Linked DNA regions of Styela clava. The protein of the gene in region 3 interacts with the protein of the main gene of each other region in a pairwise test. Links are inferred from orthologs where the notes say so. Each region holds a gene or a part of one and is shown on either strand. Other genes may lie near its edges.

The links.
Region 1: the proteins of peripheral plasma membrane protein CASK-like (region 3) and protein lin-7 homolog C-like interact in a two-hybrid assay, tested with the Drosophila melanogaster proteins (2 studies listed by BioGRID). The link is inferred for Styela clava from reciprocal best matches to the Drosophila melanogaster genes CASK and veli.
Region 2: the proteins of peripheral plasma membrane protein CASK-like (region 3) and voltage-gated delayed rectifier potassium channel KCNH1-like interact in binary tests that used the Drosophila melanogaster proteins (3 or more experiments, as listed by UniProt). The link is inferred for Styela clava from reciprocal best matches to the Drosophila melanogaster genes CASK and eag.

Annotation. Positions count from the first base shown.
Region 1 is NC_135263.1:5,071,179-5,080,285, reverse strand, and holds protein lin-7 homolog C-like, read right to left. Parts: upstream 3,211-9,107; 5' UTR 3,087-3,210; coding exon 2,490-3,086; 3' UTR 2,295-2,489; downstream 1-2,294. Other genes in the region: ornithine decarboxylase antizyme-like, read right to left, coding at 37-516; uncharacterized protein LOC120340926, read left to right, coding at 6,886-7,141, 8,039-8,161.
Region 2 is NC_135250.1:11,630,452-11,641,952, reverse strand, and holds the start of voltage-gated delayed rectifier potassium channel KCNH1-like, read right to left. Parts: upstream 5,218-11,501; 5' UTR 4,917-5,217; coding exon 4,829-4,916; intron 3,679-4,828; coding exon 3,543-3,678; intron 3,213-3,542; coding exon 3,118-3,212; intron 1,656-3,117; coding exon 1,530-1,655; intron 1,075-1,529; coding exon 953-1,074; intron 388-952; coding exon 175-387; intron 1-174. UniProt on the Drosophila melanogaster protein: Structural component of a potassium channel. Mediates the potassium permeability of membranes; potassium current is regulated by CaMKII and CASK. Has a role in growth of the perineurial glial layer of the larval peripheral nerve.
Region 3 is NC_135256.1:839,081-850,213, forward strand, and holds the start of peripheral plasma membrane protein CASK-like, read left to right. Parts: upstream 1-6,071; 5' UTR 6,072-6,148; coding exon 6,149-6,210; intron 6,211-7,102; coding exon 7,103-7,215; intron 7,216-8,691; coding exon 8,692-8,797; intron 8,798-9,584; coding exon 9,585-9,662; intron 9,663-11,133. Other genes in the region: uncharacterized protein C1orf50 homolog, read right to left, coding at 401-425.

The DNA.
Region 1 (9,107 bases), on a different chromosome or scaffold from region 3:
TATACAATCAGATGTATCAAGTTTAAATGTTTTGATTCAAAGTTCGTTACCGAGAAAAAAGTATTTCTTCGACCCAGGAGACAAAATAGAAAGCAGAGGGCTCGTGGACGGAATAGCCTGAAATCCCATGTACATGAAAGTACGTATTTGAGTTGACTTTTCTGAGCTTATATTCTGAACACAACATATAACAGCTTCGCAATCCAATTCTTCTTCTGCGATTTCAAGCAGTGCAACGAAGCTATCTCTACTGCCACTTTGTGACAGAGTGGTCGGAACTAAGACAAACATTTGACGGTTGAAGATAACAGTATCCCATTTAACAGTCATATTCTCGGTTACTTTAATCTCAAATGATTTTAAACTAAAATTATCAGGGTCAAGCTTATCGGCTCCGAATAGCTCATCAGCGAACGACGCTGTGGTATAGTTCTCTTTATTAGGGACGTCAGGAGCACTGCCGAGGCTGGGGTGCGCTGTTAGACCCGAACTTTTCCTTTTTCTTTTCTTTTTCATGACGCTGAATTGACGAGAGGTCGATCTGCATTTCACAACGATAATCACCCAGCATTAAATTATCTTCCAACAAAGATAAGATTATTTTTTTTTATCTAAAACAAAAACATGAAACAATATTAATTGAAATTATTGAAACTTTGATTTTAGACATTCATCAATAATTATTCTATGAAATTGCAAAAAAAACTTTCAAGTTAGTATTTTGTTGAATATTGTCCTTATTAAAAAACTAGCCTTGGCATGGCACAGCACTTGTATGTGTATTTGAACATATGAAAGAACGAACTTCTAGGCATCATTATGTGAATCTGAGTAGCATTTTTCCGCTGGGACGAAATCATGAAATTTAGAAATTTTGAATTTCATACCTAAACAGCAGGCTCAAAAACATTAGTTGATAGACAAAAAAAAACAGGAAAAAAAAATATTTCTAAATATTTTAAAATGTAAAATTGGTATAATTGAGTAATCGCACCTACGATATAGAAATGAAGTCAAGAAAGCACCTAGTAAATTTTTTATAGAAAACTAAGAGCTAAAAAGGACATAATTGGCCAAGTTTGCACTTGTAACTGTGGATGTAATTGCCACAAGAAAATAGCTACAACTCTTGTAAGAAAGGCCAAGGACATTATCAAGAATGCCACGATAAAATGTTTGTTCGAAATTTACTTGGTAGAAGAATTAGACAAATGAAAATAGTATAAACTTGATTGGGTCGCACAGTTGTTTGAAATATTTTTCTTGAGCGTCAAAATTTCACAAGAAGTGTTTGAGGTTAGTAAATATGAAGTCAGTACTACAGATTGCTCTGATATACAAACAAATTGAAGTCACTCTGACCAGAGGAGCAAGAATTTTGACTAGCGGCATCAATATTGTATGCTCAAGGTTAGAATATTCTGCCATTATTAATGGATTTCCATACAGGTAAAAAATGAAATATTAAACAAAAAGGTTAACACTATGAATTAAACATGATTAGTAGCTTGTCTGATGTTATTGATCCCTTGTAATTTGGAATGATTTGTCCAACAGGCAACATAAATGCATAAAATAATATAAAAGCAGCACTTTGTGACATAGATCGTTTCATAAAGGAATTTGATTTATGGTCAGATCTTCTCACTACACACCTTTATATTTTTGTAAATTTCTCGCAATGTGCAGAGAATAAAAAAAGCATAAATAAAGTGTCTAAATGGGTAAACCATACCTTCCTTCCTTGGTAATCAATGAAGTATGATTTCTCAATATGAATAGGATTATTTAAAACTGTTTCCCCCATTGACAATTGATACTAAATGAACCAATGCAGTTGTTACTTACCGGTAGGTACTTATACTTAAGTAACAAAGGCATTGGTGCATTTATTAAAAGTTGACTTTACCCCTATTAGTTGATCAATAGTTTTACTCAGCAAATTCTGAATTTCAGTGGGTATGAATTCTTTGGTACGATCTAACTAAACGCTATTCAAGAAAATAATAACTAGCTTCAGAGCATTAGAAATTCATCACAATTTCTTTCAATCATACCATATTGATGTGGTCCAAGCAGTCCAAATCGTACCAATGTAGATTATATCAAATCAAATCAAAAATTTTCAAACATATTCAGTCTAACAAAGTTTGAAGAAAAATTCAAATTCAATGTAATATTTTGGATTTCAATATTTTGATATATTTTATAAGTTTCTGAGCAAAATTGAGCATATATCAATAAATAGAAAAATTTATTTTGAATACACAAGTTTTCGAATATTCTATATGCGAGAAGCAACACTATTTGGAATAACCATAATCTTTCAATTTCTGCATTTTGAGTTGTAAAATACAGCTAAATAGACCATACCCTCATCAACAATATCATAACAAATAATCAAATAGAAAATCAAGTCAACAAAATCAAGAAAACATCAATAAAAACATTAGCAGCTTAAAATATGTTGGACAACTAACTGAATGGAATTAGCCAGAGTTTGAGGTATGCTGTTGCCTTCTGGATAGACGAAGTCGCTCGAATCGTTGCTCCATCTCTTCTAGAACATGAGGAGTATATCGAACAACTAATTTAACATTTCCGATGGCAGCTTTGAGAAGGTCAACCGCTTTCTCATGGCATTCGTCTTCAACGGACTCTCCATTGACTGATAAAAGTTGATCGCCACGTTTTAAGCCACCATGGCGATCTGCTACCCCATTGGGTATAATACGAGAAATATAAATTGGAGAGTTCTGTTCTTTACCTCCCATGACATTAAATCCAAGTCCTTCCTCTGTTTTAGGTAATTCTACAACTCTCGGGTGGGCATGTCCTTCGCTGGCTGCAAAAGCAGCAACTGTGGCCTTAGCAGTGGCATTTGCAGCTATTTCAGGATTCCCGGTAATGTCCACAGTTTCATAAACATGCTCATAGACTTCACGAACAGCGTGTAAAAAGTCACTTTGCAAAACGGCTTTCAACGCTAGGATTTTATCCGATGGAACCTGCCCTCGACTTTGTAAATTATCGATCAATTCAATCGCCCTTGTAATGTCTTGCTCGAGTGTCAAAGGTTCTGACATTTTAATAGAGTTATTTTAAAACTAGATAATAATAAATAAAGAATTACAAACAACGTCGCGGAATTAGACGAACGATAAACACCTCTCCTGAAAGTCAGGAAGCGACTGCCGTACCAGACGAGAAACAAGTCGTTGCGTCACCAGTCAGATGTCATCGAGTTCTCTTGCTGACGATTTTTTAGTGATGATAGATTTTCACTAAAACAGAAATGAGAGAGAGAAAATGATTTATTTTCCCAATGTATCAAAAAAATGTAAAATTTCAATAACTGTAAAAATAAATAAATCATAGAATATATTCGGGAGGGGGCCGCAAGACTGCAAGGTCAACTACGTCGACCGACCCATAAAAAAAAGAAAAATTTCTATTAAGACAAGACATTCAGATATCATGAGGAAAAAAAAGGCCGCTATAGATTTTTACCTTAATTAATTACAACAAATATTTGATGGATTACACATAACAGTTCCAAAGATATCGTAATATAAGAAGGGGGATTATTTAACAAGTTAGCTAACACAATACAAATGATTTCTTAAATATTTCATTTTTAATTGACACATAATAAATACACAATTTGCATAATTATTAGATATGTTGAAAGTAAAATTTATCGAAATGCCTAAAAACTTACTAATTTTAAAAAATATACCCATGGATAAACGCTAATTTTGTGGCAACAGTCATGTTTTGTTGTACTCCAACTCATCACTGCCATCTCGCGATCCTCATTATACGAGTTGCTGGTATTTTGATCTATTCATGAAATTACCGTTACACAATATACAGAAATAAGCGAGACTTCTGAAGAGACAAAAAGAGGGTGGTATTTCTATTTATACCGTAAAATTTCAAAACTATTATTCCTAAATTTTCTGAATGAATATGTTTTATTTGAATCGTCCGGTCGGACGAACAAAAATGTGAGCTAATCCCGACGACAGAAAATGATAACTGAATCGGATAACTCAATGCTCCTCAGCAAAAAAATTATCGACGGCGAATCTTCACGAAAACGAGTGTGAAAAAGAGAGAGAAAAAGGGATTTATTAGCCAATCAAAATACAGTCATCATTTCAACTAGAATAAAGTAGCCTAACCAACACTTTATATATATATATATCCCTATATAAACTGTAGGGAGCGGCGATAGGAACCTTCGCCCATTAAAGTCAACCCCAACCACAATCGCTCCTGCGACAATCGCTCCTTACTCATTTGATGAATTATCATAGAATTTACTATTATAACTAGGGCTGGGAATTTCAGGGAAAACACTTTAAAGTTAACCGATTAAAATTAACCGGTTAACCGCCGCGTGACGTTTGACGTAATAATTATAATTTCAGCTTGTTACGTCACATTGGTTATAACGCAATTTCGCGTGTTTTTATCCCGGTATCGCTCAAAATTATTTACGAATTGAGATAGTTTCATGATTCCTCTGCTGCAATAGATAGGCAGCGTGGTTCGGGCATGTGGAAATATTTAAGAAAACCCGATTCCGTTGTTAAACGTCATTTATGTGACAAATTTTCAGTGTTTGATGTGCAAATTCTATTTCGAGATATATTTCATAAAGAAAAGCGTGATCAAGTGCGCACTTGTTGTATGACATTGAATATCCGATTTTGCAATGAAATCGTGAACAATATATTTCGAAATCGACCAAAAACTGATTCTGAATTTATCATTGTAAATTTTCATTATCAGCAATCTTGGTACTTCCATTATTTTTTACATTCATTGAGTCCTTACCCACACAGTTAGTAATATTTTTTTAAATTAAACGCCGCAAGAGATAAATTTGAGATGACGTAATCATATTTAACGAAATTGTACGGTATAAAGATGATTTGTACCCGAGATGTCAGTTAACGGTTAAAATAAATCATAACCGTTAACCATCTGAAATCGGTTAACCGGTTAACCATTCCCAGCTCTAATTATAACATTACCTTTTAAAAAATATATTTATTGATTTTGGTTATCGAGTAAAGTTGAAGGAGTTTTGGAACTACTCAAGTTGAATTTTGGGCATATGTTTACAAGAGTTCTAATAATTTCAATTTACGTGAATTAAAACATCATAAAATAAATGTTTACCAGTTACAACATTTAATATGTATAAAGAAGATTTAAAAGCATTCACAACTGGAGAGTGGATTACCCAATACAAAGCATAAGATTGCTAAATAACCAAAACGAAGTTACAAACGAAAAATAATTTGCTAAACACGGAAGTAAATAGTTGGCTAATAAGGGAAATTATGGATGATACATTAGTATGATTACGAATAAAATCGATTGAGGAATGTCGCAAATACATTTTTCACGTGATTAATTGCCTTTACAGTATAAGAATTTGATTTTTCAGACGCAAATGTTTTTTTTATGATTTGGCCATTCCTTTCTACATTATGAACAGCCGGCTTCAACCTTTATAAATAACTTTAATCTAACCACGAAGTTTAATGTAATCGGATACAGGAAACTTTCAAATATATCCTTCAGGCTATTGCAAGATGTAGCTTCGTACTGAGATTGAGATATGTTGATTGCCGAGTGAAAGTCAACTCTAGGTCGTGAAATTTAAAATCTTAAGTCGGTTGGCCCAGTACTTACGAAGAAAAGCGACATTTCACGACAACAATACCCCAACAAGAACAGCAATTCAGCAAAATTCAGGTTTATTTCGTTTGTAGAAATAGAGTAACGTACAGTGATTTCGGCAAAGACATGAGGATTAGGTCTGTCATATTTACTATGGTGCACAATGTCCAGAGGTAAAGTTGACTGTATAAAATAGACGAGCATTATAGAGCATTAATTGGCTATATCGACTATATTCTAAAATAATGAAAGACTTATATTAAAAATAAGTACCTATACTATAGGATATGAGTAAATAAAAACTACCAATTTTCCATATCTTCGTACAGGAATTACAGTTTGTATTCAACCAAGGAAATAACATATATCATTTCCCATAAGGCAAATTTTAAGGTACCACTCTGTATTAGTGCGGCCAAAATAGTCGAAAGTCCACCATGGTTACCTGTGAATGATTACTAATTGTAATCATTGTAATGCGACACGGTCTTTTGTCGAATACCCGTCTAATTCGGCAGCCTATCACAAAAGCTAACCTATTGGTACTCTCAAACAAATGGGAAAGGAGGGCGGAGAATGGTGATAAGAATAATATATACCATGATCGTATATGATAGAAGAAGACAAGGTACTCTCGTAGTATGTGAACCACGATGGCGGACACCGGAACGTAGTATGTGTATCAGGTTAGGATTAGGCCGTAATTTCAGCTACAAATACTACGAGGGTGTGGTCACTTGGATAGTTTCCGAACTCGTAATAGAACAAAATTAAAGAAAATTGGAATAAAATTATGGCCTAACCCTAACCTGGTACACATACTATGTTCAGGTATCCGCCATCTTGTTGCACATTCTACGGGAGCGCCGAAGACAGTATACAGTGTTTAATTTCAAAGGAAGACCAGAGTGTTGGGTGTCTTTAGAATGCGAGCCACCGATCATGAAAGTACGAGATCCACTATTTCAGATTGTGTTACCAAAGGTTATTAAATAGTGATCGTCTTAATGCAATCTGTAAGCGTATATTCATAGGTCTCACTGATAGGAGTACTGATGCGTTTGTACGTGCATGATGCTTGGTGTTGCGAGAAAATGTTTTAAAATATCAAAAAATTGTAATGTTTTATTTCTTGGAACCACAATACAGATTCAATAAAAGAGGCTTCATATAATATCGGATGAAATGAAGAAATTTTTTCTGAGATTTATTATTTGTTTCTCCATTCTCTTCATTTCTGTGATATGTCAGGACGATGAAACCGTCATTCATTGTTCTGCTAAACCAGGCTGTTTGATTACTCAGTGCGATCCGACTCCTAAAGGGTTGAATGAAGTTGACATCGAAGGATATATGAACAGAAATGAATTTCCTATAACTTGTAAATCGAAGCTTGGACAGAGTAAAGACTTAGAGGCAGAAATGGCCAAATTTAAACAAGGTGAGTGCATAAGTATACCTGTCAAGTAAAGTTTATATTTTCATTTTCGGTAAAAAAAAATCAATCGGGTCGAGCGGATAACGATTTTGCCGTTGCATAAAATATTTAATCCGTGGCCGATGCGAACATTTAAAATGTCTTGCTATGTTAATTTGATTGTGTTCAACGTAACTCGCCTTTGCGTCGATTTACAGTAAAATAAAAGTCCAACTATAAAATACTTCGACAATCTGTAGAATAAAACACGCGATAAGATGTCCGATTATGAATAGATTGGATTCGAATTTTACTACCTTGGGATTTGAGCTATTCTGACTGCAACTAAAGATTATTTTCAAGATGTCGCCGCTAAAAGAAAAACTCAAGGTGTGTGAAACAATCCCAAAAAGTACAATTCGCAATTACGCAAAGTATTCAATCCACGACCGATACGGGAATTTGAAATATCTTGCTTAATTAATGTGTTCAATGTAACAGGCTGTTGCGTGGACTAAAAATACAAAACATTGCTACTTCAAATGCCGCATTTTTATTTGGAGCGGGTCTCCTAAAACAGAACTTATTGTGTTTTAGTTGTTTTAGTAGTTTACAATGCCGCTTTTCAATCATTTACTACTTTATTAGCTTTAGCATCTCGTCGCCGATGATTATAATATAATGACTGGTTTTTCACAACAAATTCACCATTCCGTGTAAGAACCAAAATAAGACATGCATATGTTGATGGAAATTTGTGATATTGGAAAAATGAATATCGACGCGAAGGTGTTCACGGCCCAAATAGCCCGTGAAGAAAACAATCGGCGATTTTAACAAAATGCGATTAAATCCAATCTTAAATTCAATAATATTAGAAATTCCTGTACAAGAATATTACGTGAATATTTTCAATTACAGAAATGCGGAAAGAGTTGACCAATTTGAAACAAAAGCAGGAAACATCACTGAAAGAGATGACGGAGAAATTGAACGCAGCTGAGGCGTTAATAACGGATTTATTATCAAGAAGTCAAATTCCAGGTTAGAAATTAATAACTGCGTGTATATCTGTAGAAAATTCGGTGCTACATGCAGAAGTGCGTGCGTACCAATATGGAGAATTAATTTTGTTCGCCTACTTTACATCACGTTGTGTAAAGGAACTGGACCTATGGGCAGGGGGTATATTCACTTGGCTAACACAGACAGTTCCGAACAGTAATAGAACTAAAATGAGGAAAAATCGAGATAAAATTATGCCCAAACACTAACCTGGTACTCACGCTACGGGAGTGCCCATAAAGCTTCTGATTCACGCTATTTATGTTTTGACACCAATTTACTGTCTTCTCAATACAAAGAGCGTTTCCCAAGCTTAATTAGGCGACCAACTTGTGAAATATTGGCAACAGTTCATGGTCAATGAATTTTGTAACCGGCAATTATAAAGAATTGGTCATGGTGGCCTAATTATAAACAAATATTGTGTCATATTTGGTCATTTGACACATTGTGTTGGACTGGTAATGGTTGGCCATGGTTCGCCACATGATTAGCAGTCTTATTCGCTTCCTCTCCCCCGGGATAAATATGTAAATCCTGTTCTATTTGCATACGCAACTTCAATAAACTGATTGACAAAAGTCACCATAATTACTAAATTAGCCGTTTTATCGAGTCCATTTTTCCCTCGATGAATAATTCAGATATCCTATTTAGCATAGTATATATATTATCTTATATTTTTATAAGGCTATTCCATTGATTCCTAAAACCTGCGCGTCCGGACTCAATACTCTGTCCCAGGATAATTTGGACACTCCCTCTTTGACTCTAATTTCACGCGTAAAATGAACATAAAATGATTAATTCTTCAAACTTAGAAAATGAAAGTGACGTATGGCTGGCTATAGGCCCTTTAGTCGCTTGCGTAAACAAGAGCCAACTCACGAATCGAATATATATTGTAAAACTTCTGAACTGTCCC
Region 2 (11,501 bases), on a different chromosome or scaffold from region 3:
AAAGGGTCCATTATAATGGGGCTGATTTTTAATTCGAATAAATTAGAAAATATTCACAAATTTCTTCATTGAAGTCTATCAACAGCTAACAATATAATATGCTTATATGGAAAGCTGTTCGGAAAATGTTTGTGAAAAATTGTTATTTTTTTATGACGGTCAAACACCACTTACCACCATACTGTCGGAATAAAGCCAAGCTGCTTTACGTTCTTTGATTTGGAAAGAAACATTGTAAGGCACTATCACCGCAGTGTAGAAAGTTAATATGAGTATAAACCAATCCCAACACATTTTAAATGATGAATAATGAAGAATTATTCCCATCGGAGTCTTGGGAGATTCGTGATGATATTTCGGTAACATTTCAGGATTCAAGTTAAAAAGCTGCAAAAAAATGGGTTTTTGTTAATTCTAGAAAGTTTTTGTTAATTCTACATTCATTTACACCCAACCTAACTTTTACACGACCACACAAAAACAGTCTCTTTTTCGCCCGTTTATTTTGAGTCAACACAAAAGCTGAAAGTTTTTCCAAAGCATTTCTATCATTTAATAAAATTCTGCACCTAAGCCTTGATTACGAGCAATGGTTTCAACTGTTCCATACTCAGATTTCATGTAAGATACATTATGATCAATTCCTTAGGATTTGTGGCAATATATCATATGTCTGTGCTTCTGGATAGTTTGGATATTATTCGGAATTATTGCTAATCATTGTGAATACAATATCGAATAACAAATTTCGTCCAACTATATTTTCTGCTTTCATCTACATTCGATTTATGAAGGGCATGTTGAAGTTAGATTTGGATTTATTTTAAAAAAGTATTCTAGGATGTCAATATTCAGATACTACATTTTTAGATTTTACTTTGTGCAACATTATCATTGTCGAACGAACTTTCGAGTATAAAAATGAAAAACAAATTTGCGGTCATTAACGAACCTCTGAAATTTTTTGATTTCGTTCCTGAATATCTTTCGCTGAGATTTCTTTTCCTTCTTCTATTTCAATTTCTTGATTTCTTTTCATCCGACTTACAAAATTGTTAAATTTTGAAAGACCCTCTGTTGCAAAATTAAGTTAAATATGAGAAAATCCAGTGATCAATTGATACCAACAAAAACTCCGACTTTGAAGTATTTCACAATTCAGTCAGTATCTACGAGTTTAGGTTGTTTATGAATGTAATTGCTCAGTCGGAATCGAATAGTAAATTATTCGAATTAGTTCAGACGAAAATTTCAAACTGCCGCCATCTTGTTTTTTTTTGTTCGCCAAAGGTCGAAATGAATCAACCCGGCGGGCTGACAAATATTTTTCAAGTATTCGAAATTCGATTCGACTCTGAAATCATCAGGTATACGTAAATCGAACAGCCGTAGGGAATTGTACACATAATAAAACAGTTTGAAATTTTTATAATTAGTAAATTAAAAAAATCAAATAATATGGAACATTGGATTCAAATTGAATACAATTGAGATTTGTTCATTATGTTGGCAGAATAAAATCTATAAACCTTTTTTATCTTGTGTTATTGGTCTCTTGATGAGAGTTATATCTTTGAATATCAACAGATACATTACTGTTGTGTCTGCGTCGTTCTTGATCGGTGCAACTTGTAAGAGGAACCACATCGGCGTACCTGGAAAAATGTTTACAGCAAATTTAAGTTCTATAATATCTTCAGCATTGTATTTCATCGCTATAGTTTCAAACAGTTCGGTAATAGTAATTTCGTAGATAATGTACGATATCGGGTATGAGATGACAGTTAATAACTCTATCAAAAATATACGATATTTTTATTCTTCAGTTAAGACTTAAGTTAACTTTACAATTCTCATTTGGAAATTTTTTGTTGCAGCTGGCTCGTAATTTATAGCCTTTATATAATAGAAAATACTTTTCGACTTCACGAAGTAGAAATCAATGCATTCGGATGGATTAGAAGGAATTGTACATGATCATTTGCTATTACAATAGTGGTTGAACGAGAATTGGCGCCGCATAATGCGGATAATAACCTGTGATCCAAGTTAAACCATTTGATCATTCACTTCTCCTTGTCGAGGAAATCGTTAAATACTTTATGCCAGACAATCGGATTACCTTGACATATGGTCAGTGAAGGCGTTACTCGTTATACGTTTTACAACGGGTTATCATAGTTTCTACATGAATATAGACCACTGTACTGTACTAATAATGATTCCACATACAGCATAGGTATTTTTGTTAACGACTGACTCTAAATGAGGTCTTCATCGCATTAAAATAAACTTGAAAATGACTTGCCGTATATGTACCACTAGTTCGTCAAGCTTACTGTGGTTGGGGACATTGAGTCTATGAGATGGTTTTATGCGTTTCTTTCTCGGATAAATTTTTATTAATTTATTTTTATTATAATTATAAGAAATACAAAGCACTTCGCAAAGTAGCATTTCGTGCTGAACTTTAGGAAATATGTCACTCAAATGTGATAAAAAAAACACTTCAAACTATTCTATTGTAGTAATATTGCCCACACTAAACCACGTTATTTCACCAATTCGCTACAGCCATTTTTTGTCGTCATGGCATAAACCAGTTTGTCAAAAAATAGAGCGTTGCTGTCAGTTTTGTTTCGATTGGTATTTTAGTCATCAGAATTGGTAAGTATAAAAATAGCTTATCCGCGTAGAAGTAGTTTATCTTTTAATCAAATTCACCCCATATATAAAAAAAAAAATTACGAATTCCCATTCAAGTTTGATAATTTATATTACAATGCCGCCACAAAAGATTTTCCAAGTTTATCGACGCTCAAGTTGATATTGCCACGATAAAAACAAATTAAACAGCAGACAGATGATGTGTCGTAAAAAATCATGTATTCATTTGATGAATTACATTAATTAACAACCAAGTAATGGCATTGCTAACTGTACCCATGGCCACGATTACACAGAATTACTTAGTCATCACAGGAAAAGTTAGCAGTAAAGCGATGGTATTGATTGATCACGTTAAATAACGATTTTCGAGAAATTCAGTTGTCTATGCCAGTTTATGTTTTAATGAGGTATCACAAAGTCATGGTTATTATACTGTTCAATACGTACCTGATTTGTCGTAAAGTAGCAATTCAAATTTTCCAGTTTCATTGTTATCCAGAGTATCTTTCATTTTTTGCAAAACATCCTTGTCCGTTAGATCTCTGTTACATAAAAAATAAAAAATTATAACCATAATTCATTTTTGGTGTTTTTGAATTTACTCTAAATACCAAGCCTTTCAAAACATGAGACTACAAATATGGTAAATTGTAGCGACACGATGATTCAGTTTGAGACAAAAGTCGTTTCGTATAAAAGCAAGTTGTCAACGCCAGTGTACTGGTGAAATACAAGCAAAATAAAGTTCACACAAAAACGAAGTGATCAGTGCTGTATATATATATAAGGTCTTATCCTTGCTAAAAACCGATTTGAAACAGGAAGAATCCTAGAATTCAACAATCAATTTATTGGTACAAAAATTAGTTTACCTGTGCATAAATTCGCAGATGCATGAAGCAGTCATAATTTCGGACCGGTTGTAACCAGTACTTTTGCAAAAACCTTCGTTTGCATAAACAATTGGCCAACCCCATAATTGCGCATTGGCCAGTAAGAAACTGCTATCTATAAAATAGAATAAATAAAAATCATGTGAACACGCAAACAAGAAAAGTAACTTTATAATGTTTCCTAATAATTCAAGAGCATGGAATTAGTGGCCTATCGCTCACTTCGTCACGCCAATCATGTCTTCAAAATGAGATTTTTCCGTATACCGCACTTCAACGATACATGATTTTATTAGTTTCGTCAATTTAAATACCACACAAGGCAGAAATGCATTTTGAAAATCAATTATATACGGGGAATCGGACTATATATATATTTAAAAGTACATTTTTATTAAGCGTCCCATTGGTACTGGTTGTTGTCAATACATATCACTGAATAATGTATGTTACACTAAAAGCTTTCAATATTGGCTAGTTCCTGTTTCGTATTGATACTTACATCTCGATTACTTACATTTCTTTTATCTAGCAAACTGATGGTATGTAGCTACGCCACAATTTATGAATAATTTAAAAAAAAGAAACATGTAAACGTCATTCATAAAAATTCACTGCAAATGCTTGACAAAAAAACTTGTTACAGTTAATGATAAAATTGTAACTTGAATTTAATATTGGCAAGTTGAAACCGAAGACGTGCATTTGGGAATTTGGGTGGAGTTTGGAAAGGGTGAAAAATATCGTGATGCAAATGCAATAAATGTCCAAGAATTTTAATAGTTACATACAAGTCAAATGAAGCAAGTCAAGACAAACCGAATCAATATGCTAATTTAAAAGTCAAGTTCAGTCTGAAAAATGGGCACTCCCGTAGTATGTGTTTGGCGACTGTTAGTGTTGGCCAAGTGAATATACCCCTGCTCATAGGCTTCAGTTTCTTTACATAAATTGATGTAAAGTAGGAGAACAAAGTTAGAGTCCTCCGTATTGATACACATACTTCTGGAGCGCTGAAAAATGTCCGTTGTACTTTTAAGGATCAAGCTGCTTCAACAAAGCCGTAAATCAAAATCAAAGTGATCCAAAATATTCATGACATCGAATAAATGAAAATCGCAACAACTACACAAATTTGCGGGGACAACTGCAAGGGGACAGTCCGTGAATATTTGATATGTATATACAAACATTCTGCGATTTTATGTATTCAAACAATTCCAGTTCTAGCGATCTAAATCAAGTATATGAAGAAGTACACTCACTTGTTTCGTACTGATTAGTTTTTCTTATAACATTTTCCAAGAATGTGTTTTGCGGGGCAACAAGGCCTCGCTTCGATCCGGCAGGCATTTCATGCGTCGATCAACACTCAGAAACGATCCAAAAGAAATTGTGATATTTAATCTATTTAATATCACCGTTGAAATATGTTTCATTTATTTGTTCTATTGTTAGGGAATGTATATATACTATCCGAATAATCCGTGCTTTGATCGCAATTATGTTTTGTGGTTATCGTCATCAATACTTGGAAAAATATTCCACTCAAATCCTGTTTGAAATTTTGATGTCTTTTCCACTTCTGATTCACTTTCATTCCGCGTTGTTGTCACAACAACAATTCATACAATTTCAGGCGATTTTGCAAGTAATATACATTGCTGTGAAAAATTATCCAATTTGATTAGATTGCTTCATCTTTTTCGGAAAACAACTATTTTTGGAGCCACTTTGGTATGCTAAACGTGATATCAATCAAATACCAAAGGGACAGCACTTGTGTCAGACATTCTCATAGAATTCATTTCTTAACCCTAACTAAAATCACACGATAGTTGATAGAGCATACCAAAGTAGCCTATTAATTTCCTCCCACCTGTCTTTTCATGATATCTAATTTTAGTATTGAAATATTTATTCATCATCAATAAGATTGCACGTACCATAGTGTATAAAATAACTGATTATACAAGAAGTGTTTTCTGTATTAATACGCATTTAATAAATTAATGGTAACGCCAAATTATCTATACTAATCCAATTACAAAGCTGTGTACCATCCCGCTAATGTGTATTTTACCTTATCTTATCCTTACTAACTGAGCATGTATATTTGCAGTTTATGCTGCCTTCTAACATCCCGGAGCGCCGACATTCAAATACCTTTTCCCCACCTTCTATCTACATGGAGTTTACTCTTTATTGTAGCAATACGGCTTAATCGATCATAAGAAATTATTATTCCACATCGACCGGCTGTCGATTTGACTTTACATTTAAAAAAAGGGGCGAAGACCAATTTTACACCTTTCACGCGACTGGCGAAATGTCACTGATAGCTCACTCCTCCGACAAAAGGGCTCTCGGGAATCTGATCGATGCATCCGTTACGCACGCGACTACACGAATGTGGAATATGCAAACGACTCGCGACAGCCATGTGGTTCGATTTGTGGCAACCCGAAAAATATTTGAGAGTAACAAGGAATATATAAGCAGTCTAATTAGCTTTACCGAGCCACGGTACATTAGCGAAACGTGTTGAGAGCTCTGTTATTTAATGTTGTTGACAACCAACTGACAAAGTAATAGGTTTTTACAGAAATGGCATGATGTTCAAAATGTTCTCGTTAATTTTTTAGTTTAATGATTTTTGTCGATGTTATGTAATAATTTATATTTTGGAATCGATAAAACCCACAAAACGCGTATTTGAAATAAAATAAGTGCACTTTAATTATTCTGTACAATTTAATGAAATGAAAATGAAAATATACATCGTTTGATATGAGTTACTACTGGCGTTGATTTGGTTAACATTTGGCGTTTAATTTCACTGATTTTTGATTTATCAATTCAAATAATTCATAAAAAATTATAAAAAAAATTGGCAATGTATTCCACGCGGTGTACAAGTGAAACGGCGAACATGCTTAATGATGACTGCTTAAACTTTTATGATTGCTGCGTTGTTAAAGTTTTAATGTTTACTCCGTTGAAGACTATAATTTAAGATATTTAACTCAATTAAATGCATATAAATAAAGAACGAAGACACAATCAAAAATGCGTGACGCCATTCCAGGCTTTTTGTGAAGTCTTGTTGGTGCCATAAAGGCATAAACACTGCTTCCCTCAATTTGACGAGGATCACTGAATACTGGTATTGGCCTCTTTTTCGTGTTGGAGCGAGGTCGTAGTTGCGGTGGTTCAATGGAACGTGCGCTTTTGCAGCCTAGGTGATCATCGGTTGACACCTCGGTTCTATCAAATATGCACCTGTTCTAACCACCTCGCGATAGTAAATCATTTCTTGGTATTGTATATCCATGATATAAATAAAATATATTGTGGTAAACTATCTGACATTGGTATGGCACGCTAATGTTCGTATGGATCATTGATGGGCAATACCGCCCTCTAGAGGATAAAACACGGAAGGAGTTAGCGCATTTCGAAGGATCAGAATTATCGCGAAACTTGTCCAGTTACTTTGTGATATGTGTAAAAACGATTGTCTTATTTAACGATTGTAGTATTCTAATTAACTGTGTGCGTTTTTCTATCAAATAAATCAAATCGAATCCAGAATCCTATTTTATTTTCATAGTTATTTATTTAAATAGTGGGAATTCCCCACTACAATGCATGATTAAAATTTAAAAGAAGCTAAATTGCAGCCTAATTGTATAACTATCTTTGTACAGTATTTAATTGGAAATGTCCTGATCATTGGATTTTATTTAACCAAGGCAACGAGATTTAAGAATTTTGACGATCGTTTTTTTGTTTTTAACAGTTCAATATTCTCGATTTAACTACTATCAAGTACGAGCCAGAGTGTTTATTCTGTGCGAAGTCCATTTTCTATTACAAAATCTTGATGTTCTGTTACCGGTTTTATCGTTTTATATATAAATATACGTGCGCACGTACGTATTATATAAAAAGCGACAAGTTTGAAAAGTCGTTGTCTTTGCGTTATGGTGTTATATGCTTTTCTTTGATTCTATATTTTGCAAAAAAACGTACCGACCGTTCCGTAAATTTAGAAGCGTCAAGCCGGGTATATGAAATAAATTTCCCAGATTTTAAACTCCGTGTCATAAGCCATTTCTTGCATGACCGGAACATAAAATTGATTAAAATCAAATGTTAGAATGACTTTTCGGCGTTTTTTCGGCGGAATTTGCAAATTCCGTAACTAAAATTGAGCATTACTCAGTACGTATTTTAGCTATAATAACCGTCGGGGTGTTATTTCGTTGAAAAAAAACCTTAAAACTTAATAGCTATTTCAAATTAACATTCAGAATTCACGCAATCGCAGATTTGCAAGGTTTATCTATCTTATGCTAAAATAACACGAACACCATAGAAAAGCACGAGAAACTCAAGTATCGTTTTAATAAATATCTGCATCTCGGTTATCGTTCACTTCAAACAGGCACTGTTAATTTACAAGCGGTGATAAGTAAGATCAAAGCCAAGGCAGAGGATAAAACTCAGAACAAAATTAATTTGGTTTCGAAATCAGTCCTCAAGTCTTCAACAGCTGTCGCTGATGTGAACGCACGGGTATACGAGAAATTTAAAACTTCGATATCCGGCTACCCCTTATACTTGCAAAAAACGAGAAAAGGCGGAAATATAGATTACCAACTTTAGGATATCGCGATGACGGAGGCAATCAGAGATTATGATGAAATTAACTTTTAAAATAACACTTTATTGCCGACTTTTCAATGTTTCTATTAATTTCCAAAGAAAGTATCGACTTCCGACGTACTGGATCCCTGTTGTGTATAAAAATATTTATCATTCGACCATTCGTTATTCGTTCAAAATATTCAATTCGAAAAATATTCGATTTTGCCCACCCCTTGACTAACAGCCATTAAATTTGGCTTTGATTTCGAATAAGTATGTCAAAGCGGGTCGTAATCGTGGAGGATGCAAGGTGCAGAAACGGGTTGAGATGATCGCCAGTTGATCGGCAGATATTTCGGGACTATTAAACTACTGAAACAATGTGAAAAATACACGAAAGGGAGCCAATGATTACAGCCATGTCTAAAATCCTTCCAAGTGTAAAGGGTCCGAGTGGCCGCGAAAACGCTTACTGCTGCGTCACGATTGCATCTTGTGGATTAGTTAACGCTACGCGGATGAACTTTCTACAAAACTCAACTTTCCATAACATAATTTTATTTCAACAACAGTAATGCAAATACAATCAAATATTTAACAACCTACAGCTATCCACTCAGTCAGGCCCTCCGAGGACAAAGATGACTTCAATTTACTTTTATTCGACTTGCGAAAGTATTTCAAACGGCAGAAAGTTTTGCTTTATAATCATCATTTCAGATATATTCTATTCCACGGTCTAATACAAATAAAAAAGGAAATTTTATTGAAATAAAAAATTGCACTTGAATATCTTGCTTGCTGTGATATTTTAGTCAAGTGTTGGTCATATAAATTCCAGTATAGAAAATTTTTCTGGTTCTCAGTATTTCATGTAGGTTACAGCGATTGGTGCTCTACCTGGCCTAAAGAAAGTAGATTTCACTATTTGAGATTAAACATTTTATAAACTATTGGAGACGAATAGGTAAATAAGTGCATATTTGAATACTGTACTCGCTTTGAATAGTCTGGTAGACAAGCTTTGAGCAAACGAGACATTTTCTTCTAGCACCATCTCGCGGAATACGCTTCTACGTTAGTATTTTAGAAACAACGCAGCCCTTTACTTTCAAAAACACATTTTCCACCATCAGTCATTTGGAGAATTATTCTCGTTCTGTGTTCATATGTATATGGATAGGCTAGAATCAATAATAATTTTATTTGTTATTTTCGTAGAAGTGAAAGCATAAAATGTTTACGCATTTTCGCCATATTAAACTAATTTATGTATGAGGCGTTCTCCACTTTCATTCCAAAGGACAAGCATCCATCTGACATTCAAGGACTTTATCTGTTGTTATGCATCGGAATAGAGTGGAAGCAAAGCCAAGTGGGGTAATGTGTCTTTTCTGCTATTCGGTGTTCCTCAGCTGCAAGCCAACAAAGTTGATCAAGTAACTGCAGATTAAGAACCGACGAAGTTAAATTAATGTATAATAATTCCGATCGATGAGCTAATCCGACACGATACCTTTTTATCCTACTAAACAACGGCACCTTTCAGACCACGGACACAAGGCTTTGAAAATTATCCTACCAGTTTATGTCACTACTTTTCTTTGTGGGGGAATTATGCTTATTTATGCAGATTCCCGAATGGGTCGACACGTTTTTATTTTTTTGAGACAATATTTCAGAGGTTTGAAAGATATCATCTATCTTATACGAAAATTGTGGAAACCGACTGTCGCAACTTTTTCATTTATTGATTTTGCTCGCATGAATTCACATTGAATTTTGTGGTATAAAATATCGATGAAAATTCATTTTTCTGCCGTAATTTATGTGCGAAAAGTTTGAGAAACAGGGGTACATTTCGACAAATTGAAAAATTTTGTATGCTTTTAATGCCGAACGGATTGGGACCATTGACTGGCGTAGTTGGAACGGAGGAAAATAAGAAGTAATTTCCAAAAGAAATAAATTGATATTTCGTTAATCATATTGATTAAATATATCTATATAAAATTCAATGATTGTTATTGTTTCGTGACTTGGGCTACTTTTTGTACAAGCCCGTTTTCTTCTGTTCTGCAATAGGTTAAAAATACTAACGCATAGAATAGATTACCCGTGTTTTGATTTCATTTATTTATGAGGGCATCTGAAACAACCGCTTTGCAGGGTTCTAAGGTGAAGGGTTCGGGTTACATGAACGATACACGCACTGTATATTGAAATTCAAGGTTATTGGACACTAATTATTGGACACCTATATTTAAGCCTTTGCTCTCTTGGGGTTTTTGATATTTATTCCGTCCAATGAGTATAACAGAGTATGTGTTTTGAACACAACAGTGTCAAGCCTAACATTATATGATAAAGTTCTGAAGATGTTTGAGACCGATACATGGAAAATGGATCCAAGAATTTTAAGTGCTGGATAGCTCGATAGACGAGGGTCTGGAAGCAGTCATTGAATATTGATGGTAACGTGAGTGTCCTGGCGTGTCAGATCATGTCATCTGTTGCCCAACAATGAAAATTAACTCTGCCGTCGAATCCGCTAACGTGTCTTTTGTATTTATACTCGATTTGTGTAAAAATTCGCAAACTTTTAACGTCGACTAAAATTCAAACCATGTTTATTAAGTTTAATCTAGCATAATTATATAACTGCCTTCCTGATGAATTTCCGAAATGAAATGAACTTATTCCACCATCAAACACATTTTGCAGTAGCATTTATAATTTATATATAACGAGTTACGTATAATACATTATCGTATGCCATCTAGTTTGTAACTGACGAGAAAACTTGGGGTTATCGAGCAGCGTGTGAAAGTGAGTGTGGTGATTGTCTGAAGAGTCATTTTTTTTTCATCCCAGAGTATTTTGTTGTTTCGTTTTTATTTTTAAACTGTCTTCAAAGCGGCCTGATCATGCACGCTTCCATCGCTATACCCAGTTTAATGAGGAAAAGCGCATATTACATTAGCGACTTTTCACTTCGAAATCGTAGTACTGTCAGTTAATGTCTTTCTGCGATCATATTCAATCGTAATAAAACCACGATGGCCATCTTTTGTAACATAGTGCTTTTTATCAATAATATACCAATTTTATTTGTGCTTTTCAACACTCTGTGATATATGCATTGCCTACTAAAATCTTTTCTACGGTCTCTGTTGTGCCAGAAAATATTTCTATTTTGGAACAAAGTCGAATGACATTTTGGAACTTTAAGACCAAACATCAATTTGTCATCAAAAATTTCAAAAATACCTTGATTTAAAATAA
Region 3 (11,133 bases):
TTCTCTCATTTTCTCGTCACAACGACCTCGATGAGAGAGATCGCCGGCATTATCGGCGGCGCAGATGCCATTTCGGGCGATCATAATTATACTTTGGCAATCCATATGACGTGATGGTGACGTAAATTTTGAATGGCATAGTCAGGTGGGAGTTAGGAATAACATATGCAAAATTCGTTATGCTACGCCCACTGAAAGTACTTGTGGTACTAAACTATACTCAGTATACTAGACCCCATAATTTTTGGATAACGTAGTCCAGTGGGGGTTACGATTGTTATGTTGAATCTTACTAAATAGGAAATCTTTCTTGACACAAAGAATATTTCTGCATTTGCTAATAAAGCTTCACGCTTACATTAACAGATGTCAGGAATTCTGGAAAAATATGCAAACTCACCTGGTTTTTGAGTCGCCTCCGCCATATTTCAGCCGCTGAAAATAAGAACTAAATACAAGAATATTTATTCTACCAATCCGTTGTATCGGTACGATATTTCATGAACGACGACAAGTCTGTATCTGATCTATAAGCATAAACGGAAGGGGTGACGCGTAGAGCAGTTGGTGCAAATTTGATCAATGACTCTTGCGGTGTTGCGCAATTACTATTGCAGAAAGTAAACAGAGTATAGTTGCCAGATTCGTTCAACTTATTACTTCATAATTCGATACTAAAAAATATATAAAGAGAGAAAGAGTTTATTGGACACGTCAGTGGACATAACGACCGTTTTAATGTTGTTCTTGTTCCTTTTTTTCCTTTTTTCATCATTAAAAAATCGCTTTTCTCTTCCAATACTGACCCAATTGCTTCAAGATTTCCAGTGGTTGAAGATTGATTTTTTCGCCAGAAGGCCATTACTTTTACTTCTTTCAAAAATTTCTGTGAACTTTAGGAGATTCGTTTTTTATGTGTCGGAATAAAAAATAGCGGCACCTTGTAACGTGTCCCTATATTTGAGCATAGCTCCCTTGTTATTTTTGTCAACCAAAATACAAATAAATTTCAAATTAATAAACTACACAGCATTTATTTCGGTATGGACTGGGAGATGGTGATACGACCAAAGGTCAGGATAGGATTAGAGAGAGAGAGAGAAATTTATTTTATTTATTCCGGGAAAAAAGAAGGGGACGAGACTGCTCGATCAGAGAGAGAAAGATTTATTGATTCGTCAACCAAAACAAATATAAATATGAAAGCATAAATACAAATAAATAAACACTGTTCATGGTAAAGACTGGAGGGAGCGATACGACCATACGGTCATCCAAGTCAGCTCCCCCCATATTCACTGTTATACATAAGATTCACAGGTATTGGATTGAGTATATTGGATTAGATATAATAGAGTAATATACAATTAAATAATTGTAAAAAGCAAAATTACAAGGGGCTAATGATTGAAGTTAGTTATCACGCTCAGGCGCGCAGCCAGGATTTTCAAAGGGGGGGGGGGGTACATAATCATAAATTCCCATTGCAGCCTGTAACAGTCTTTGCATTACGCTCTCGTTAAAGGGACGTCTTTTCAGCGTATAATGATTATTCTTGTCGCGTGAAATATTCAATCTCTGACAACTACAAAATTCTAAAATGTCTTTATATATTAGTTTAATTGTGTCCAACGTAACTCGCGGTTGCTTCTTCTCACGTCAAAGTTAAAACATTAGTTCTCTGAAATGCCACGGCGATCGGTGGACATAAAAATATGAGATAAACGGTGTATTTAATTTTAATACGTATTTTTGGAATCTTGCCAACTCGTTATCGCCGTTAGAAAAATCTCAATAACTGATATAAAATCCCGAAAAGTACAATTTTATTTCGTACAATGAAAATGCATATGAAGTATATCGTTAAATCAAAAATACATATTCATCGCCGCGATTACGCCACTTGTTAAAAGAGCCGACGTTTACAACGAGAAATGATTTTTCTGTTGTGCAAAGTAATCAATTCGTGACCGATAAGGGCATATTTAAAATGTCTTGCTTTATTAATTTAATTTTCTTCAATTTAACCAGCGTTTGCGTCGACAAAACATATCAATTTTTTACATGTCACAATTTTAAAAAAACCTCGGCCATATGCCGACATAAAAATAAAAATTTGTGGTAACTGCCCGTGTCATATATTGTTTTGATCCGTATTTTTTCTATTTTGCAAATTCGACAAATTTGAGATGTGCTTGTAACATTGACTCCGTTCAATCGCAATGCTGACACTCCGATTATTTTTAAAGATAAAACCTCCTGAAAAATCCGTAAATCTGCTGTAAATTCTCATGGAGTAAAATTTATTTCAGTACAATAAAAATTGATGGATATACTTCGGATTAATTATCTTGTATATCATCACAAACCGGGAAAAAATCGCGTTTTCAACCTTGTTTAATGATAACACGAAAATTTTCTACGACAATTTTGGAGTGCTGGATAAAGGGCAAATCCCACCCACAATTAACCGTGTTTCGAATTTAGTGACGGTATGTTCCTAAACGGCGACCAAACATAATGTGCGCCGTAGGCACACGAAATTTTGCGATTTTGCGACTAGAAAATCGTTTTTAGACTGTCGCGGGACTCAACAAAACTTAAACTATTTACGGTTTTATTTTCAGTATTTCATAATGCCGCTTTTCAATCAAATTTAGATCGCGGTTTTACTCCTTCTTTTGTCTTTAGAACCTCGCCACCGATGAATGTGTAATAACTCACGAATTCACAATTCCGTGAAAAGTACAAAAATAAAATAATTATCATGTCTATCGTGGCACAAATTTATGATTTAGAAAGAATAAAAACCGATGTAAGGGCGTTTACGGCCTAAATAACACGCTGATGAAAACATAAGCGATTTTAGCAGAAGGCAATTGCACGCTTTTTCAGTTTTCACATTTCCGTGCGGGTACAAAAATAAAACAAGAGAGCTACGCCCAAATATATGGACACGTCTGTCCGCAGTACAGTACGGTTTACCGTACCGTCAGATCACAGTCTACAAATATATTCACACCAAGCGAAGCAGTACAGTAAGACACGAAATGGCGTCCGATGCCCGCAGAACGTTTAATGACGTCATAGCAAACAAAAACAAATCTCACAGAGCTAACAGAAATATTTAAAATGAATAAAAGTAATAGCCTTCTGGGGAAAAATTTTATCTTCAACCACTGAACATTTCAAAGCAATTGGTCCAGTATTCGAAGAGAAAGCGTTTATTTAATATTTCCACTAGGTGTGTTATTCTGTGTCAAATAACAAGAACAAAAACAAGAACAACATAATATTGAAACGATCGTTATGTCCACTACGTGTCCAATAATTATCATTGTTCCCGCGGCACAAATTTGTGATTTAAAGAGAATAAACACCAATGTAAAGGGCGTTCACGGCATAAATAACATGCCGCGTTGATGAAAACGAACGTCGATTTTAGCAGAAGGCAATTGCACGTGTTATCGGCAACTTTTTCACGTTTCAGAAAATTCAAAAGGGGGGGATCAAATGGCAAACACGATGGGTCCTCCAGTCCATGCCGGGTAAAGGATTATTCAGTCAGGTATTTGATTTTAAAAGTGTGGATAGTGATTCGAATTACGGTATTTCTATTTTCTTCGATCATTAATTGTTTGATTCATTTTTTTTTGTTTTTTTTGTATCAGTATATGAAACAATCAGAAGTTGTAGATTAAAAAATATAACGTAGTGCTCCCACTGAGCTTTGTTTAGAGCTAAATGTGTGAAATTAAAAAGTGTTTATGCGAAAAGATCGTCTCATTTGGAAGACCTGGCAATCAATATTCCCACTATGTGCTATGATCATTGATAAAGTTATTGAACCCGGGAGATGGCACCCAAGAGTCACACTTCAAAATCACAGACAGCTCGTACCAAATAACTTTCGAGTTGGATGATTCGTACCGCTCAAAGACAGACGAATTGTCCATAGATTTTATTGCTCCACAATGACCGTCAGGTCGGTTCTCTTGCGAAATGAATGAGAAATTTTGCTGATTGTGGTTTTAGTTTATTTGCTTGTAGGCTAGTTGTTGCTGAATTAACAGATTTTCATATTTGCAAATTAATGATTCTTTTGCGTGTCACGCGGACAAAATAATAACGGGGCCATACACTAAAATTGTTTCGATATTACCGTACCGGTACCGGTACGTTAGGATAGGATTAGGATAGGATTCACAAATCTCGTTCTGACGTTATTGTCAGTTTGTCGAACATGGGAATGGTTTTCTTGTTTTAGAAAACTCGATGTACCGGAATAGGTTTAGTAGCACTAATAAAGTAGACTAGTAGTATTTATTTTTTTCGTCATATAAATTGTGAGATACGGTAGGCTATAAAATTTGGATCATGAAAAATTCGGGTTCTTTTTACTTTGTAACTTCTGTATGGTTGTGTGAGAGTGTGTGAAATATTTCCATTATTTTGGGTGAGTGAACACGTACCACTTCTTCTTGGCACGACCTTCCATCTTGTATTGTGTACGTTTTAAACCTTGTCCAAGGTTTTGTTTGCTCTCCTGTTTTCATAATCAGTTTTTATTTTATCAGTTTCTACTTCAATTCTGCAATTGGTTGTTTTTGTCAAATTGCTTCCAAAGTGATGCCCGATCGCGTTTTTAAATCTGTGTTTGTTTCATTTATCTTCTGGTGGGCCGGCAAGTACATTGTACGCTTTTTAACCTTTTTTAAGTTATGCCTGTCTCCCAGGTATCACTGCATTTTGTTTTGTCCGTTTACTTTTTGTATTGTTTATGTCAGAGAACCAAAATGAATGATTGATTGATTTATTTTTTATACAAATCATTTAAGTGTTATGCTGATTACTGGATTATGGAGTCGAAATAAACTTATACTTATAGTATAGTTTAGTGGACTACCACAAGTACTTCTAGTGGAGCAGGCATAAAGAATTTTGCATATGTTATTCCTAACCCCTGACTACCTGACTATGCCATTTAAAAAGTACTTCGCTACAACATCACCATGTCATAGAGCCTGTCAAAATATATTTACGATCGCCCAGTTCACGATCGCCCATCACTGATACAGTGATAACTGGATAAGGAACTCGCTAACGTTGGGAATCTCTTTCATATCGTGATCGTTGCGACAAAAAAATGAGAGAAATAGCTTGCTCGATTTCGAGTGATCGCCTGTGCGTTTTGGACGACCTCAGCATACTTTGGGGGGGGGGGCTTTTTACGCCACTGTGATGTCAAAATGACGTAATTTTTCGGTAACGTAGTCAGGTGGGGGTTGGGATTGAAATATGCAAAAATTGTTTAGCCAGGCCAACTAGAAGTGCATGTGGTACTAAACTATACCAGACCCAAAAATTCTATCGTTAGATCATATTTCAATATTTGAAAATAAAACACCTTACAGACTTATATCTGTATATTGCTCTACATTTAGAGCAGATGTAAATAATCCCAATACTGTAATGGGTCAATAAGTGGAAAAAATATAGAAAATTCCAGAGTGAACAAACGATTCATGATAGCCTAGTTTTGCAAAATTCACGAGAAGCCTTATTTTAAATAGGAAGTTTGTGATAGATCTAAGTGTTATTGCATTTGCTAATTTGTTTGTTCATTGTTTTATGTCGATGTAATTATTGAAATAACCTAATTGTTGTAGATAATTATTACTTCTGGACCAAGCTTGAAAAATACTGAAATATGAAACTCACTCAACTGGATTATGAATTTAAAATGGAAAAAAAAAATGAATAAATATATATATTTATATATTAATAAATTATATATTTGCTATATTCCAGTGGGTTGAGGTAGTGAAAGATGACTTTAAAACTTATCTAGCTGTGACTCACTAGTTGTGTGTAACCAATAACCATACTGTTTATATTCATAGTTTTTCATATCGAGTCGTGGGTCGGATGTAAAAGGATCACTCAGAAGAGTATTTGCTCACCACTGTCTGACTGTTCTATTGTAACATGTAAACATGGGTTTGTGAAATCTGGCAATATCTTTCCTCACAAGTTAACTTTATTCCGTTCATATATTCTGCAACAGAAATATATTTATCACATTTTAAGTACTTAGATCTGACTATGAATAACAAGTAATAAATCAATTGCTGAGTGATCTTTCATAATGAACAATATGGTAGAGGAGAGATTCGAGACCCACTATGAACAGCACGAGACCATCGGAAAGTGAGTAATTTTTTATTTTTATGACTCGTAGGAGGCGCAGTTCTTACCACTTCATGGCAACCGAATGAACCGATGGCAGCTCCTGCCCTGTTGATGGCGCTATTACCGGTATATTCACAAAGCCAGATTTTATTTTATCATGCAGAATTATATCTACTTAACCTAAAACCTAACCCCAAATCCATTAAAACTGTATCTATAAGGAACTGTTCCAGCTTACCCAATATTTATCACCATCCGGGACAGCCCTGCCATTACAGCTGACATGCTGTGGTTATGGCAGCAAAATTTCACCCGCCTTTAGTTTTCAATTTGCTGCTGTTGTATCGGCAGCCAACCATTGGTTCGTGGCAGTCAAAAAGACAGTCGCCATGGGTTTGGCCATAGTGTCCATGGTCCGGAAATCTCACCTGAGCTTCAGACGCCACAAAATACTTGAAATTGCACTTGACTCATAGCGGTGCTTTTAGCTTCGAACATGGCCTTCTACAAACGGCCACTGAAATCTGATGTTATGTGAGAAGCTTTTATTGTATTTGAAAATGCCTGAATCTTGTTGGAGTGGAGCAATATCATGATATATATTAAGCATGATCTACCCAAAATTTCAGTGGCTTCGGATGCTGATCAGTGACCATATAATTATTTTTTTACAGTTATAAATTGTTCAAATATTGTTCATTTCATTTTTACTTAACTTTCAATTCATTTGTTCTCATTTATAATAACATCTATAATTTGTTTATCCCCTGAAATATTTTCGAATTTGGGATTCATACACGAGCCTCAGTCTCCAGAAAACCAATGATATCATGCTGAGCATTCCAGGAAAATACCAGTTACCAGATTGACAATAAAAACATTTTCAACAAAATACATTTTCCTGTTACAGAGGTCCATTCAGTTTTGTCAGACGTTGCACTCATCGAAGATCAAAACTCCAGTACGCTGTTAAAATCGTTGACGTGGCAAAGTTCACTGGAAGTCCTGGACTTACTGCCCACGGTGAGTTATTTTTTTTACAATCCAAACGGCCCTCAAACTTTCATGATCATGGCCCAACACTCATAACACCTTTTGGTACTCCAGAAGTATGTGAACCAAGATGGCGGACACCGGAATCTAGTATGTGTACCAGGTTAGGGTTAGTCCATAATTTCAGGTGCAAATACTACGGGAGTCACGGTGACCGCCATCTTGGTGCACATACTTCTGAAGCGTCCGTTTTTTGTATTCTATATTTCTGACTCTAAGATAGTTGATGCAATGCAAGGAAAGAAGTGGATTTTCTGGGTAGTTTTTTTTTTTCCAGGGTTCTGCTTATTATTAACTTTTGGTCATGATAGGGTTACTTCGATTCAAACCCCGTTGGGGGTGAGACGTAGCTGATTAGAATACTTGATCGCTCATCTATCTCTCACCAACACTCAGATGCTAATTTCCACACATTCGATTGAACCTGGTTGACTGATTCGAAAGCAATAAATGATTTTATTGAGAGATGATATACAAGGTGGTCGCTAGAAAAGTAGAAATAGGTCAGATGAGATAACGAATAAATAGGCAGCGTTTCCCAAAAGGAGCGAACCCCTGACATCTCTATCACAATCATGCTTTAGATTGAGATTAGTCAAATGGCAAAAATTGTGAGCACAAAAAAAATCTTGCATTTTAGAATACATACCTATACTACCTTTCATTGGAAGGGAATTATGGCCAATCCGGGACAGCTGTCCCATGACAATTACAGTGGTGATATTATATTTCACATAATGCATTCCCTGTGGGCATTGCAATTTCTGAAAGTTTTCTTCAGGGGTATTCAACCTCTTTTGATGGAGCGAATGAAACATTTCAGAGTTTTTTTTTATGTCAAATTGCAACAGTGTTCAGTAAAATTCTTTGACCATCTGTCAATAATGCATTTTACAAATCATTGTTCGGAATCACAAAGAGTTTTTCATGCAAACTTGGGTCCACTTTCAATACCAATGCACTGTGTCAAAATGACCATTTTCGAAAATTGACTATCCCAAATTATTTTTAAAAAATTTAAAATTTGAAATTCTGTTATAATCAACTCGATTTCTAATTATTCCTGCCGATAGCAAATTGAACACGCATAACTTCTGATCAATATATTGCTTTATCTTGGAGTCTAGATTTTAGGAGTCTAATATATAACTAAAGTAGTAACTAGTCGACAACAACTAACGGATTAGTTCACAGATGAAATTCAATACATATAGCAGATAATTTTACGTTACAATTCCAAAATTTTGAGTTTCTCTCTTATTCACGTCACGCGTCGAGAATGCGATACGCTTTACGTGAGTAACGACATCTCTCAAATAGCTGTAAAAACAACCTTTTCAGCGACATCTTTGCGTCGTTCTTGGCATTTTCTGGATAATGAGATAAGTGACCTAGAGATCCTAGGTTACAATTACAATTTAATTCTTATTCCTGCATGTTCCACAGATTTGAAGAGAGAAGCGACAATATGTCACATGCTGAAACATCCTAACGTTGTTGAACTCTATGAAGTTTACAGCGAGGAAGGATTGCTGTACATGGTCTTCGAATAGTGAGTATTACTTTACTTGAAACAAAATAAAAGTTTTATTAAAGCAGGGATGGGCAAACTACAACTCGCAGGCCCCATGCGTTCGTCAGAGAATTTTGGGACTTCCCGAAGTATGTGCACCAAGATGTCGCACCACCTGAACATAGTATGCGTACCAGGTTAGGGTTCAGGTTGTGCACCATCTTGGTGCACATACTTCGTGAGCGCCAAATTTTGTACCCTGTTTGTTTAGAAAGTTACTTGCCACCACATACAAAATTTGATTTATTTCAAATTTTATTATAAATAACCAAACCAATGGTTCTCAAACTTTTTAAGTCGCGCCCCCTTTTCTAAAATTAGTCAAGTCTCACCCCCACCTTAAAAATAACCAGCTCACACTAGGCTACAAATAACAGATGTTAATGCGGAAGTATGTTTATTAAAAAAAACTTTTGAAAATACATGGATGGAAGTATTATTTTATTTGCAATTAACTTCACCCCCCCCCTCAATAATTATTTACCTCCATACAGGGACACATACTTCTGGGTCGCCCATTTTATTCGATCATTTTAAAAAAATTCTGCTGCTAATCATTGGATCTCAACATTTGACTCGTAGCTTTTAGGAGGATATGCTAGAGTTCTGTTCTGTGAAATGACGCTAAAGAGCCCTTTTCCAATGACATTTGACCTATGCAACTGCTGAAAAATTAAAAAAAAAAATTGCATATTCAATGACTTTCGTGTATGGTACAGCGTTAACTAAATTTTTATTCAAAAATTTCATGAAATTATTTTTTTAGCATGGACGGCGCTGATCTTTGCTTCGAAATCGTGAAACGAGCGAACATGGGATTCGTCTACAGCGAAGCCGTTACAAGGTTAGAGATTTATTTGTTGTGGCACTTTCATTAAAACAAGGCTTATATGCAAAGAGCCACATTTATTGTGGGGATTAGTCACTACCCAATTCAGTATTCCCTGCCAAAATTATCTGGAGGGGGTGCATTGGATTCAAACTCAAGATATTACGATAACTGGAGTCAGAACCGCTTTGTGATAATGGGCTAATTCAGCACCATGTCTAAATTTGGTGTATGACATTGTCATTGCCAAGGAGCCACTTATATGCAATCAATGAGCTATTTTTATTGTACACGACAGCAATATTGACCGAATCAGGATTTAGGATTGTTGTGAGGACCCAGCCGTAATATGCTCGTTTTACCGCCCGATCTTCATTAAGGGCCCGTTTGAATAGCCGCCCGTGTGAACAGAACATAAAAATAAATAAGGGCCGGTGCTTGAATACCCGCCCGATGTAAAAGCTGATTTTTCAGTGGTAGAAAACAATAGGAAATAAGAAGCGCTTTTGTCACAACGCTGTTGAATTTTACTCGCAGGTAGATAACACTCACGCCTTAGGCGTCCAAGTACATAGCAGATAGCATTGATTACTTAACATCATGGTTCTCAAACTGGGCGTTGCATCGCCCAAGTGCGTCGTTTCAATATTGATAGGGCGTCGCAAAACTTTTCTTCTTTTGCGGATTTGTACCTGCGGTGGGTAGAAAAAGTCAAAATTTTCGTTATTCTTGTTTAAATCATACTTGAGAACTGGAAATAACAATATATTAATTATTGTACGATCGAAAATAACAAGCGCCCGTGCTTGAATAAGGGCCGGTTTGAATAAGGGCCTGGTTAGTAAGTTGGTTGAAAAAAATAGGGGCCCAGGCTACAAAACGAGCATATACGGTATATCACACCATGGGTCGGGCGGGGGCATGGGATTTGAACCAGGATATTTAATATTAATTGTCGGAACACATTTTTTTTTGTGGGTCAATCCTGCATTTCGACTGTTTCCACTCAGAATCAGGATCAGTTACTGACCTGCGATTTACAGTTATTATCCAACCCAGTATTGTCCACTCATTTTTTTTTTACTGCAAAGTGAGGAGCGTGATGTTTAAATCCGAGATCTTGTCAACATAAAAACTTTATCTCCTCTTTAAAGCAGAGCTGGGGAGCTGGTTCAAAATCATGATGGCTCCGGCTCCAGCTCCGGAGTCGCAGTGTATTCAATCTTTAGCTCCAACTCTGGGTCCGGAGCTTCATTTTTTTATGCCGGAGCTGGCTCCAGCTCCGGCTCCATAGCCATTATCAGTAGTGCAGCCCAATAACGCATTTTGCTAATTGTTTTCTAAGTGTGGCATGTTATTTAGGCTGTAACACCCTTCAAGTCGGTGTAATAATAATTCCTTTTTGTTCCTGCATTTAACTTGTGAATCCACTGAGAGTTATTATATGCTGTATTTCCGAGTGAATCGGTATACCCAGCATATAAGG